Arabidopsis thaliana: one gene and its partner. The protein of the gene in region 2 interacts with the protein of the main gene of each other region in a pairwise test. Each region holds a gene or a part of one and is shown on either strand. Other genes may lie near its edges. The genes, in order: LRB1 and HB6.

The links.
Region 1: the proteins of HB6 (region 2) and LRB1 interact in a two-hybrid assay, tested with the Arabidopsis thaliana proteins (one study listed by BioGRID).

What each region holds. Positions count from the first base shown.
Region 1 is NC_003071.7:18,993,077-19,000,512, reverse strand, and holds LRB1 (BTB/POZ/Kelch-associated protein), read right to left. Parts: upstream 4,869-7,436; 5' UTR 4,403-4,868; coding exon 4,147-4,402; intron 4,022-4,146; coding exon 3,887-4,021; intron 3,750-3,886; coding exon 3,631-3,749; intron 3,531-3,630; coding exon 3,467-3,530; intron 3,240-3,466; coding exon 2,960-3,239; intron 2,882-2,959; coding exon 2,050-2,881; 3' UTR 1,841-2,049; downstream 1-1,840. Other genes in the region: AT2G46250 (myosin heavy chain-like protein), read right to left, coding at 7,312-7,436. UniProt on the Arabidopsis thaliana protein: May act as a substrate-specific adapter of an E3 ubiquitin-protein ligase complex (CUL3-RBX1-BTB) which mediates the ubiquitination and subsequent proteasomal degradation of target proteins.
Region 2 is NC_003071.7:9,524,580-9,531,021, reverse strand, and holds HB6 (homeobox protein 6), read left to right. Parts: upstream 1-3,176; 5' UTR 3,177-3,409; coding exon 3,410-3,479; intron 3,480-3,558; coding exon 3,559-3,938; intron 3,939-4,066; coding exon 4,067-4,552; 3' UTR 4,553-5,034; downstream 5,035-6,442. Other genes in the region: RIBA2 (riboflavin biosynthesis protein), read right to left, coding at 1-135, 319-368; AT2G22440 (non-LTR retroelement reverse transcriptase), read right to left, coding at 1,105-1,550, 1,788-2,112. UniProt on the Arabidopsis thaliana protein: Transcription activator that may act as growth regulators in response to water deficit. Interacts with the core sequence 5'-CAATTATTA-3' of promoters in response to ABA and in an ABI1-dependent manner.

The DNA of each region.
Region 1 (7,436 bases), 9.5 Mb from region 2:
GAAGATCAATGAATGATAGAGAAACCAAATCACAAAACTATTCGACCAAACAATCTCTATTTGAACCATTTAAGTTACGCAATACCTACAAGAATCCGAAAGCTCCTTGAAGAAGAAACGTAAGCAGAAGATGAAGAAGAAGAAGCTTAAACAGAGAGAAACCCAGAAATTTAAATCGCGAATTCGAAACCTAAACAGCAATTAAACGCATTTTCATCTTTCTCTCTCTCTAAAAAAACCAGAGCGAAAAAGAGTTCAGTTTTTTTTTTTGAGGGAAGGGAGACGCGAGAGAGAGAGAAAAAAAACGGAGCGCCAAGACGATGACCACGTCATCAGACACGTGTCATGAGAATATATAACAGCGTAAACTACGGTGGTGTTTGATGAGTTGGCTCATCGAGTTTAGTGCCAGCCATTTCTTATGTCATCTCTACCGTACACGTGTTCGATTTCTAGTCGCTCTACGCTTCCCTCATGTTTAGATTATTTTTATAGTCGATATTTACCATAGTGTATAATCCTCTTCAAAATCCGTCATCACATTCACACGTCAGTGAAGTCATGTGCAACATAAAAATAAGAAAACTAAACAATCTTTCCAACGAATTTTCAGAATCATTATTTTTGTATGGCATGAAAATAAACACAATTTAACTTTTGCTACTTACCGATGGGCATATTTGTTTATTATATAGAATATTGCTTCGAATAATTTGGATACATGATAAAAATTTGATTAGAAAGAAGGGACATTATGGTAAAATACGAAGGAAGAAAAGACCTTTGACTAGTAGTATCTCCGACGCGGAGAGCACTTCTGTCGACAAAACTAAAGATCCGAACCGTCCATTATTCACTACCGATTCGTATCTTCCAAAGGTGCCACGAGACGACCCACGTGTATGGCCACGTTTTTGCCATCATGGAATCACCATAAAAGGAAAAATAAAAAATACTTTTTTAGTTTATTTTCTTTCATTATTATGAAAACAAAACAATAAAGAAAAGGCCCACAAGCCCGACAACTGCTTCGAATCCAACGGCTGGGATAAACAAATGATCCAACGGTATAAACTAAGCCACGCCAGTAGATAGTTATTGGCATTTAGAGGCTAAAGGGCCAACGAGGCTTTTTTTTTTTGCGTTGGCGTAAAAGAGCTTCTATCCACGAAGTGGTCCCTACATTACAAAATGCGACTCACATGGATGTATCTACGTGTCGGTTATCCATTGGGTGATGTAGTAAATATTGTCTGGGCTCTCTATTTTTGTTTATTTTTATTTTGTGTACTGTAGAAAGAAATCAGAGAGCATAATACTAGTACTAGTATTATTCAACTTAGGTTTTCGGTGACGTAAGCAAAGGTACAGACCACATCAGCTTTGAATATAGACCGTTGATCTCGGTTTCTCGATTAGAAAAAAATCGACGGTTAAGCTGCAATAAAAACGTGTGTTTTATATAACTTCGAATCATCTGACGTGGCCATCAATATTTTGTAGTGGAAAAAAAAAGTGGGGTCGATAAGTCAGAAAAGGAGATTAATCATCCAACGGCTCAAACGTGTCCCGACAAAATGACGTGTCCGTCTGGTAAGCGGATAGTCTTACTTACGCATTTATGTGGGCCCCATGTGACGAGGACTCAATTCCTCTATCCTCATTTCCTAAATTATCCTTGTCACTTCATTCTATTTCCTCGATGTACCATTGCTATAGCCGCATTGTTTGAACTTTGAATATAAAAGCCTAATGTTCACACTATAGGCAATTTAGCTTCATCATTACGCATCGTAGTAGGCCTTGAGCCCATATTTTAAGACTAACCTCAAAAGCTAGGCCCAAATTCTATCTTGGACTATTTATAAAGACCCATATAGAAAAGTAAAAAAATCCAATCAAAGAATTTACAGAATGAGGTACTCTTTAAGCCATACTTTTGCTCCTTAGGCAATTATTGTACAAAGGACACTCGTGGTTAGAGCTGCTACATAACGAGATTATACAACTTAAATGTGACGACATAGAGAGAGAGAGAGAAGAAAACAGTCAGTGCAGGTCTGAGGAACGTTTAATGGTGAGCTCGGCTCTGAGATGGAGAATGCCATTGATGAAATGTTGACTGTCCTCGGCTATGAACGAAGTCCATGGAATCCCGAAAAGGTTTCTGTAACCAACCGCTTTCCCCCCTGTGAATGTGTAGTTTCCTTTGTATTTGCTTACGTATTCTTCCTTTGTACTTTTATCTCTTGCCGCAAATTCGTAGTCCACACCAAAACTCACAGCCCCTTTCTCTTGCATTCCGAGGAATAGCCCAAAGCAGTGGAACGAGCTTTGCTGGTCCATGTTGCAGTGTGCTGAGAGGAAGAAACCTTGACCTCCTAAGTGGAAAGCCTGAGAATAGACTCTTCCTGAAGGGAATAGTCCTGCGCATTCCTCTCGCTTCAAGTCCAGGTACACTACACATTGCGGGCGAGGAAGCTCAAACTCCACCACTTTTACGGGTCTGTATTTGTAAGCCCTCTCTATGAAACGGCGGTTCATGGAGTCCGATCCTTCAGCTGCGAGGATGCGTTGCCTGTGTGGGGCTTCTGCTTTGAAGAAGAGCGCTTCTAATACTTGCTTTGATGCTACTTCATGCTCAAAATCACTGCACGTTAGTACCTTTTTCAGCTTTCGACACGTCATGTATGGGAAGCGGATGTAGAGTGCAAGGCGTGAACCCAGAATCTCTCTACGATCTTCCAATGAACTATACTGTCCCCTTGCCCATTTCAAGACAAAATCATAAACAGCATCCTCAGAAGCAATTTGGAGATCATCGCTCGATAGTATCGCCTCTATTCCAGCCAATGGTAAGGCCATAACCTCATCATGAAACCTGTACAAGATGGTAACACATGAACAAGAATTATACAACACTAGAGTAAATGCATTTCAAACCACTGGAGAGTCTTACTTGGTAATATCCTTGTAGCGCGAGGCAAGGAACTGCTTTGCTGCATCGGTTAGAGGTTGCACTGCTTCAGCCATTAAAACACTAGAGGGCAGCTCAAGATAGAGCAAAGCAGAATCAGGGGTCATGGGCATATTTCGCAGTAGTCTACTACAATACCTCATACAGGAAGCAACCTCAAACTTGTCAGCAGCCATAAGAACATCTAATAAAGCGGGTGCTGTTGTGACACTTAGAGAGTTGCTATACATAAAGTTTAAAAGCTCCATCAAAGCACCTTCCTCTACAATACACATAAAAGTAGAGCATGAGAAATCAACAATGTGGACTCCCTTAAAGCTAATATCGTATATCATATGTAAATCAAAGTCAGCAACTGAGTTAATACAAGAGGCATAAAGAATCCAAAACAAGAAGAAGCCAACAGAGAGCTAGTAGAGAATTGAAGCCAATATAAAGAGATTGGAGAATAGCAGAAATGAATTAAAAGCTTGACTTAAATTGTCGTACCTTGTGCACTAATTCTAAGGGTTACATGTCTTTGTTCTGATTCCCTCATTCCATTAGAAAACAGCTACAACAGGGTAAGGAAAACAAGAAGCAAAAGATAGCATTACATGCGAGATGAACAAGAGCAAACAATAAGAACATAGAAGAAGAAAAAAGGTTAATACCTTGTAGAAAAAGGGGCTTTTTGCGGCCAAGATAGGAGAACTAATATGCAGTTCTTTAACTCTAACAACAGTAGAACAATCAATACCCCAGTTTGGCTCACTAGATGCATCATCATCACCTACAAAAACCATTAATAAACAAAGCCATCACGTTTCAGACAAATGACTTCAACAAAAAACGCTCTTCTGAAAATTGTTAAGTATCACAAATTCAAACCCAGTCACTCGAGAGACAATGTGAAATTTAGAACGGTACCTGATAAAGCCTCTTCAACCATTGCCTCTCCTTCATCGTCAAGATTATCACCACCAGGAGCATCATCCATATCAGGTTGGTTGTTATCGGTTAAAATCTGTTCTTCAGCACATGCCACAATGTCTGAAATCGCAACTGGAAATGCAAAACGTATAAGTTTCTTAAACATTTAAACCCAAAAGCCCTAAACCAACCATAAGAACAATTCATAAAAACAACAACAAAATCTGAGATTCCAACCGATAGGGAATCAAACGTACCACCATTGTCCTTCTTGTTGTCCTCTCTTCTCCTCTTGCGATGACGAGCCCAATCGGCAATACTCGTACATCCTTCAGCATCAGACCTAGAATCCGAAGGCCCACCCAAGATCTCGATCCGGAGCAAACGATCGGAGAAGTTACTGTCATTGAAAGCGAAACCAAAATCACCTTCGGAGGAAGAACCATGGCGAGAGAAATTGGAATCCATCTCCGTCTTAGGGTCAAATAGATCGGTGTTATTGGAACCTCTCATCCTCCTTTTCGAAAACCCTCTTCTCCGTGTCTTCTCTCCGGCGAGAACCGAGCAGAAGAATCAGGATAACAATAAGGGTCAAATTCGAAAAGGTTTTTTTGAGGAACGAAAATGACAAAGAAACACTAAAAAAGTCTTTCTCTGTTTTTTTTTTCTGAAACAAAGAGCGGGTCGACGTTGAACGGTTATGGTAACAGGGCGGTGACGGATAAAGGCTAATTAAAGACAAAGAGGTTCGTTAATGCCAGCCTAACTAATTGTTTAACCGGTTTGGTCTTTTGATTGTAATAAGCACTTTGGTTCTTTTTCCGGTATTTTGCATAAATCGCGTAGGTACGATTTTGATTTTGACTTATCGGATTCGATTTTTAGTATTTGGGGGAAATTTAGCATTTACTTAATTAGAGGAGGAAAAAGGTAATAGGCAAAATTAGGAGTGTATTTAGTTGGAAAGCGTCAAATTTGGTAAGAAGACAACTCGTTCAACAAACGGCAATGCCTTTTATGTCGTTAAATATTCGTTGGAATCAAAGTCTAATTTGGAGTTTTCTTTTAATAAAATACAATTACTTCAACGTTTTACAGACTTTGTTAATTAGATTTTGACCGAGTGAAACTTGGCTATGCAATGATAACTTGACAAAAAAAAAAGGACTAATTTATAAATTGAAATCCGGCCGGTATACATTTCTTCGTAGGCCAACACATGACAAACCAGTTGACTATGTTGTGTACTACTAGGGATCATTTGAGATGATACGACTTAACGTATCGACTACAAGCAACCCAGCTGCTATTATTTCTTGAAACCATCGATGGTATATTTTCTCAAACCAAAACAATTATAGTGTACTTGTTTCGATCTGATCGAAGTTAAACCTAACTTTATTATTGTTCTTGTTTTAACTAAAAACGTATCCAAGACCAGTTTTGATGAATATATTTTTTTCTTTTTTTAGGTGAAATGTCCCCTTCGTATTTACGACAAACACACGACTAATGTTAAAATTAAAACAAGGAACAAGAAATATTTATACATTTGTCAGTTTTAATCTGTATTTCCATTAATATCATATTTTCAAATTGGCACACGAACGTCTTCTCGTAAATAAACAACATTAATATTGCTTCCATGCAAGCATCAACCACAAACACCTGCAAATAAACATGACAACCTGAAAAAAAAAATGCACTAGAGAAAAAGAAAACAAGTTAGATCGAAACCAAGTTTTGAAGAACAGAGACTAATTAAGAGAAGAAGAAAAGGAGCTCCCTTCAATCCAAACGAAGAGAAGAGAATGATATGTAGAGAAAGAGGGAGAATCTAAGAGGTCGTGCAATCCCCTTAAAGTGTGCTTTCTTCAAGCTTTTAACACCGCGCACTCTCTATGAGGAAGACATGAACTCTTAGATTCTGCATTTTAGTTCCTCAAATCTTGTCCTCTTCGTTTTGGAGGAAGGGAGCTCCTTCTGTTACACTTGAAGAACGAATGTCCCCCAAAAAGAGTTTGATATCTTTTTACAATAAAACGAACCAAAAATAAACTATGGAAAGAGGGAGAATCTAATATGTATGGTGATGGATTGTTGAGGCTTATGATGATGATGTGAAAGAACATGTTGTGTTAAGTCGTTTTATAGATGAAAGAGCATCAACCCTAGTCTACTCCTTGGGACGATTATGGAACAAGTGTAAATAAAAAATTGAAAAATATAGAAGAATAAATGGCAGTAAATCTTATTATTATTATTTATTTATTTATTTTGGCAGTAAATCTTATTGTCATTAATTAGAGATTAAACATAATCTTGTTGACTAGATTCTCTTTTAGAGAGAGATACGGTTAGGGTGCAACACTATGGTTTATGGAGTATTTGCAATTCCATTGCATTAAGACTAAAAAGAGAATTAGTTAGATTTCAAATGTCCAAACAATAACTAAACCGTACTTTTTGTATATTGAAGAGAATCTAGGCATTCGTAAGACCATCATTATTGATAGTTTTTTAGGTTAGTTTTTAGATAAAGTAGATCTTAAATTTAATGTTATAATTCAATTAATGGTTAAGAATAGCTCTTATATAAGAGCCAAATCTAATGTTTTTTAAGTTAATTCTTAGATAAATTAGGTCTTAAATATAATATTTTAATTTAATTAATCTTAATTTTTAGATAACTTAAGTATTAAATAGAATTGTTTGTCATATTTGTTTAAAATTTTATGTCATGTATGTTTTAAATTTTATGAGTTGTAATAACTATTAAGTTTTTTAAAATTATAATGTTTCTATTTTTTTTTTCAAATTTTCTTTTTAAGAACTCCAAGTTAAGATTCCACCATTGCATATTGCCTAAATTTCAATCTCTTAACCAAGTTTTTAACTTCAGAATTTTCAAAATCAATTATAAAAATATTCATAAAAACTATATTAAAATTATGCTAAGAAACTACCATTAATGATGCTCTAAAACAGATAGAGTTTGGTCAATCGCTATTACCGACACATCTTTGACTTGGCTTTTTTTTTTTTTTTAACGTTTATTAATCACCAATCAGTCTTCTTAAAACTTGTGGAATTTTTGATGACCAAAGATTTGAACTAATCGGTTAAATTGTCTCTTCTTTAAGTTACATCTTTTTGTTCTTAATTACAACTGCCAAAAATAGTTGACCGGAGTTGTGTTCTTTTTTTTTGTCGAACCGGAGTTGTGTTCAATGTCAATATATGTGAACTGTTGACAAAATTAGCTTTTTCCTTTTTTCATGTGAAATTGGTTTCTGTCACTGGGACAATTAAAATATTTAGTTTTTTTAACGACTAACGAGCATTAATATTAACCACAACCAAATAATTAATCCAACATACATGAGAAGACACGAGTTAATTATTTGCTCGAACCGGAATTATCACTCTGGTTTCAAAGAAGAACGTAAACGTCGACTTTCTACACGAGCTTCCATCAGCTTATCCTTGAGAGTACGATGATTATCTTCCCTGATCATCACATTCACATTTCTCGGATGATTCTTCG
Region 2 (6,442 bases):
GATCCATTACTCTTAGAAGAAGAGAACACATCTCCTTCCTCAGGTATCACTCTCATTCTAACATTAAACTTCTTCGATATGATCCTAGGATACACCAAGCTCGTTCCAAATGGTTTTGTTCCCTTGACAACATCACTGAAAAACCCATGAAGACAACATAACCATCAAAACCTAAATACATAGATATGTGTTTCAATTGAATCCAAAATCGAATCATAAGCAAACGTAATTTCAAATTCCGAATGATAAACAGATCTAATCAAAAACTATCAATTCAAATTCAGTGAAACAGAGAGAAATACAATTCAATTTGATTACCGGGAAGGCAAAAGATGCGTCGAATCGCACCGGAGAGTAAGCGACGCCATTTTCACCGGAGTTTTGAAGAGAGAGACGACGAGCTTCGAAGAGACTGAACCACCGCCGTAGAATATCACTGTGTGTGTTTTTCGCCGGTGATATTTTTTGGTGTGCTGACGTGGCAGTTGTATAGATATTTTTCCATTTATGGGTAAGCACGAGCGGAACGGCGTCGTTTAGGAATTGAATACGATGTCGTATTAGGTGGAAACACAAATCCCCATTGAGATCATCTTGTGTCGGTGCCTTGACTCGTTTTATTTACGTTTCTATTACACAAAACGTTTTTGATTGGATAATGATTTTCTTCACCAAATTTACACCTTACTTTACAGTTTTCCTCTTTTATTTTTTTTTATAAGAATGGAGCATTGTATCAAAATAGAAAATCGAGTAGATTTTGTTGCATTTTTTTTTTTTTTTCTTCAAACACCATTTATATTAAGTTATCGGGAAGAGACTCTCCGCTAGAGAGAGCCATTTAGGAACCAATGTGCTTACATGGGAAAAAAGGCTATTGCGAGCCCGAGCTTTCTTAGCTAAACAATCTGCTCGAGTATTAGAACTACGAGAAAGAAATCTAATACGAAAAGAAGGGAAAAAACAAACTAAAGAACGATATGAAGCCAATTCCGCTGCAAAAGTCAGCCAATCGTCTTGGTTATCAAGGATAGCAATCAAGTCTGAGCAATCCGAAGCAAAAGTACCAGAAGTATCACCAATAGAGATCATGCACTCCATTGCCTATAACAAAGAGTTAAATTCCGCATGAAGCGGTGATAAATTTCGACGAGTGCTCTTAAGGCCAAGGTGGATGACCAAGTCTTGTCGAACAAGTACCCAACCATGCCCGCTCAATGTGTCATCTACATGCCATGATGCATCGAGTTGACATTCAGGGAGCAAGGTGGACGGGGTCTGAGAAGAACCTACGAACACGATTGGACGAGTGGAATCATCCTCTTTTAGAGTTGCTTGTTTCCAAACAGCTGTCTCTTGAAGTGCCAAAACCAAAGTTTCAGGGGGAGGTTCCCTGAAGTTCTCAAAAACAAAACGATTTTTACTTTTCCAGATATACCAAATTATCCATGGAAAGAGTTCCAACACCTTTTCTCCAATTCCAAATTCTCGGTCACGCCAAAAAAGGAAGTCGAAATTATAGAAGAGAGAGTTTCTAGGGAAAATATTCCCTGAGGTAGGAATAGGCGATAAAGCCCAAATCTGTCTCGAAGGTGGACAATGAAACAATAGATGGTTGATTGTCTCTTCTACTTCTTCGCAACGGGGACAACCTTTATCTGTACCCATATGGCGATATGTCAATCTTTGACAAGTGGCTAAACAACCCGAGATACATTGCCACACGAAATGCATAAGCTTCCGCGTAGTTTTAAGCTTTCATACTTGTGCCTGAAGTGCCGAAACACCTGGTCCCTGAAAAGGGGGGTCACAAGTAGGACGAGAAAGATCTCTCGCGACCCAATATCCTGACTTAACAGTATAATTACCGGATTTAGTGTGAGACCAGCTAAAGCCATCACTCAAGTAGGTACGACTTGGGCGAATCCCTAAAATGAGTGGAATATCAACGGGATCGATCAGTGCTTGGAGACGGTCCAATTTCCACAAATTTGTGTTTTGGTCAATTAAATCATTGACATAGAGTAGAGAATCTCTTATGTTAAGAATGCTCTTTGCAGGCCGCGCTAGGATAGTGGGAATCCATGGATCTTTCCATACGCGAGTCAGCATTCCAGAACCTATGGTCCTCCGAAATCCAAAGACAAGAAGAGGTTTGGCGCATTTTCACCTCTAAAATAAACACAATTTCATGTTGATATTAAGGTTGTTAGTTTCGATCCAAAAGAATTATTTTGACTATAGTTAAGATGATGTTATACCTAAAAAATATAATTTACATTTTATAAAGAAAACAAACTAATTATATTATCAATGGATGATACCGGATATAGGAACTTATAAGGTGAAAAAAATCAAAGAACCAAAAACCCAAAAACTTTCCAAATATATAAGAGAATATAAATATGTTTTGGAGAATCAAAAGAACCTAACCCAAATAAAAAGAAAGCAAAAAACTCACTCTTGTTGCTGTCATCGAGGCCCAACAGCTCTTGTCTCATTTTTGCATTGCCACGAAAGTCATCACCCTATAACTTTAATTTATAAATTTTTTAATGGGTTAGAGAAAATAAAAAACGCATATAATCCAATTATTACAACTTTAACAAATTAAAGAAGACATGATGATTAGATTACCATGCGAATAAGACAAACATATTTTGTAAAATGTTGTCAAAAAAATATCTCTAAAGCATTCATGATTTTAGCATTTAACAAAATAATTCTGATAACCAATTTTGTTACACACTACTATAAAACTTCTAAACACAATATTGTGATGTTATAATAACTTTTACATGGTGAATAGACAATTTCAAAAGATTAATAAAAAGAAAACTCGATTATTCAATTTTTAAAAATAGATTATTAATTTAACACAGAGATTCCTTTCCACGTATAGCTTGAGTGGAGCTGAGCCGATTAGTATAAGCCGAGCCATATTATATCCGTTTGAGATTAATTTTATTTTAATTGATTTTTTAATCTTCTCTTACACGAGTTCCAGTGATACCGGAAGAAACCTGGAGGTAACTGGGTATAGCCGGTGGACCCCCTCAAATTTATTTTAACAAAAAAAAAAAAATCATTTACAAAAGAAAACACCCAAGACAATATCTACTTAACCATGGTTACTTTCTAACCCAACCTTTGAGTTTATTTAAACTGAGAGAAAGTGTGAAACCAAGCTTGTTCATATGGAAAACGCTCATCAACCTCAACAATCTCTCTCCTCTCTCTCTCTGTATATAGAAGAATCTCCATTGTCTTTAATTTCTCTCCATTTCTCTTTCTCTCTTCCTTCAAAGTTTTCTCTTTTCTTGATGGGTTTAAGAGAGTAAAGATCATCAAGTACTATGCATTAAATTGAGAAGTTATTAAAAATTTCGAAAGTAATTAAAGATTGTTGATGATGAAGAGATTAAGTAGTTCAGATTCAGTGGGTGGTCTCATCTCTTTATGTCCTACAACTTCCACAGGTACTTAGCTAATTTTCTAAACAAGTCCTTTAATTAATCTCATCTTTGTTTGCTAATTGTTCTTCTTATGGAATTACAGATGAGCAGAGTCCGAGGAGATACGGTGGGAGAGAGTTTCAGTCGATGCTTGAAGGATACGAGGAAGAAGAAGAAGCTATAGTAGAAGAAAGAGGACACGTGGGCTTGTCGGAGAAGAAGAGAAGGTTAAGCATTAACCAAGTTAAAGCTTTGGAGAAGAATTTTGAGTTAGAGAATAAGCTTGAGCCTGAGAGGAAAGTTAAGTTAGCTCAAGAACTTGGTCTTCAACCTCGTCAAGTTGCTGTTTGGTTTCAAAACCGTCGTGCTCGGTGGAAGACAAAACAGCTTGAGAAAGATTACGGTGTTCTTAAAACCCAGTACGATTCTCTCCGTCATAACTTTGATTCCCTCCGCCGTGACAATGAATCTCTCCTTCAAGAGGTATAAAAATTCAACCTTTTTGATAAAAGATTGAAACTTTTGTTGATTCAAAGTTAAAAAAATTGAAACTTTTTACCAATCTTGAGATTTACAAGAGAATTGAAACTTATGGTTTTGGTTTGATGCAGATTAGTAAACTGAAAACGAAGCTTAATGGAGGAGGAGGAGAAGAAGAAGAAGAAGAGAACAACGCGGCGGTGACAACGGAGAGTGATATTTCGGTCAAGGAGGAAGAAGTTTCGTTGCCGGAGAAGATTACAGAGGCACCGTCGTCTCCTCCACAGTTTCTTGAACATTCTGATGGTCTTAATTACCGGAGTTTCACAGATCTACGTGATCTTCTTCCATTAAAGGCGGCGGCTTCTTCATTCGCCGCCGCAGCTGGATCTTCAGACAGTAGCGATTCAAGCGCTCTGCTGAATGAAGAAAGCAGCTCTAATGTCACTGTGGCGGCTCCGGTGACGGTTCCAGGAGGTAATTTCTTCCAGTTTGTGAAAATGGAGCAGACGGAGGATCATGAGGACTTTCTGAGTGGAGAAGAAGCTTGTGAATTCTTTTCCGATGAACAACCGCCGTCTCTACACTGGTACTCCACCGTTGATCATTGGAATTGAAGCTGAAAACACCACCGGAAGAGATTTTGGATTGGATTAGATGCTCTTTTCTTCTCTGTGGAAAAAACAGAGGAGGGCAAAATGGGAATAAAGTTAAAATTGAAGGGTGAAAGGGCAATTAAGGAAGGGTTAAGTCTGGGCGGGAATAATGATTTAGGGTGAATTTGTAATTATGCTTTTTCTCTAGTGATTTTCGTGCACTTCTTGTAATTAAGGATCATCAGATCAAAGAGAAATTGAGAAGGGGTTAACATGTCAAAGGCAAAAATTCAGCATGGGCTCTTTAAATTACAATTGACCCTTGAAACCTAAATTATACCACTTCTGACCCTTAAATCAATTTTTGAATCATAAAACTACAGTGTGACTTCGTGTATTTAGTTCTAGTGTATTATGGGATTTTTTTCAAAGAGAATGCACCTCAAAGTCTCAGCTTTAAGTCTAATGTTTGGGTAAAAAACACACCGAACTTCAGATCCAAAACCTCTTGATAGAAAAAACAAAATAGATGTGTTATACACTTTTTTTTTTTTTTTGAATCTGTTAAATATACTTTTAGTGTAGTTTGTTTTGTGATTTGAATTAAAACTTTAGTATAAATCAATTTATTACATTTTCGATTACCGGAAAGTATTCATGTCATTAAGGTTTATTTAGTTCAAACTAATTTTTTTATTTCATTCTGTCTTATTTGACCTATAAAATCTAATTTAGCTTAAAAAGGTATTGTCATGTACCACTAATTTATAATTACTAACTTATATACTTTAATTAGTGATATAAGGTGAAACTTAGCAGTAATGACAACAAATAAAAGATGAAGATATATACTTAAAGGCGGTAAAAGATGATAATAAGAATCCGACCAAAAAAAAGATGTGATAAATAAAAAATAGATTGTACAATAAGTTTTAATAATATTTTAAATAATCATAAAATAAAAAGAAATTTGTTTTAATATTTTCTTACCAAAACCTCAACATAATATAGTAAAAAGCCAATAATACAAGACTTTGTACCGTCAGTTTTTTTATGATTTATAAGACCTAGATTTATAATATAATTCAATACCACTGTTATTTACTATAGCTTTGATTGATAATTTATTTGGGGGAGAAACTTTGACAAGAGAATTGGCACGAGGTTATGAAGATTTTTGGAGAAAAAACATTGACAAGACGAAAAAGTTGTTGCTAAGATACAGCTTCCAAAATGCGATTTATGCCATCAGAAATGAGCGAAACAAAAAAAAAAGACATGGAGAGCAAACTTCCCATCTGGAGATGCTAGCAAAGATAATAGATAAACATGTTTGAAACCGTCTAAGTACCATGAAGTGTGTTAGAGTAGAAATGCATACAAGCAAAATTTAAGTCTGGTTTGCGTCTATGCACTAGTGAAAGAAGTTGTGTCTCATTTAAAATGTTTCAAGTAATTGGTAATTATTTGTAAAAATGTGTATTTTTTTGAATATAATTTAACACTAAATTCAAAAAAGTAAAAAATAATTTGGGGTATACCTCTTAGCATCTTATAGTGATAAGTTTTTTTTCTTAACAATATGCATTATACAGATTTAAATTGATGTAGTAACACAATGACTTCATTAGTAAAAACCTAAAAACTACTTCATTATAGAGGTTAAATTCCTCAAAACTGTATAATGTTATTATTTAAACACTATCATTAGGTTTGCTGTTCAGATTTGATTTGATTCGAATTCGAGTTGTCTCGGTTTGTGTAACCAACAGTGTATTGATTGTTAAAGAAAACTAATTATGCTTAAAGGTAAACCGGCAAAGCTTTGGACCACCTCGAATAAGATCATTATAATAATAATACCGGAATCTTCTAATTAATTAGAATTCTTAATGCATCTTTGATTCTTTA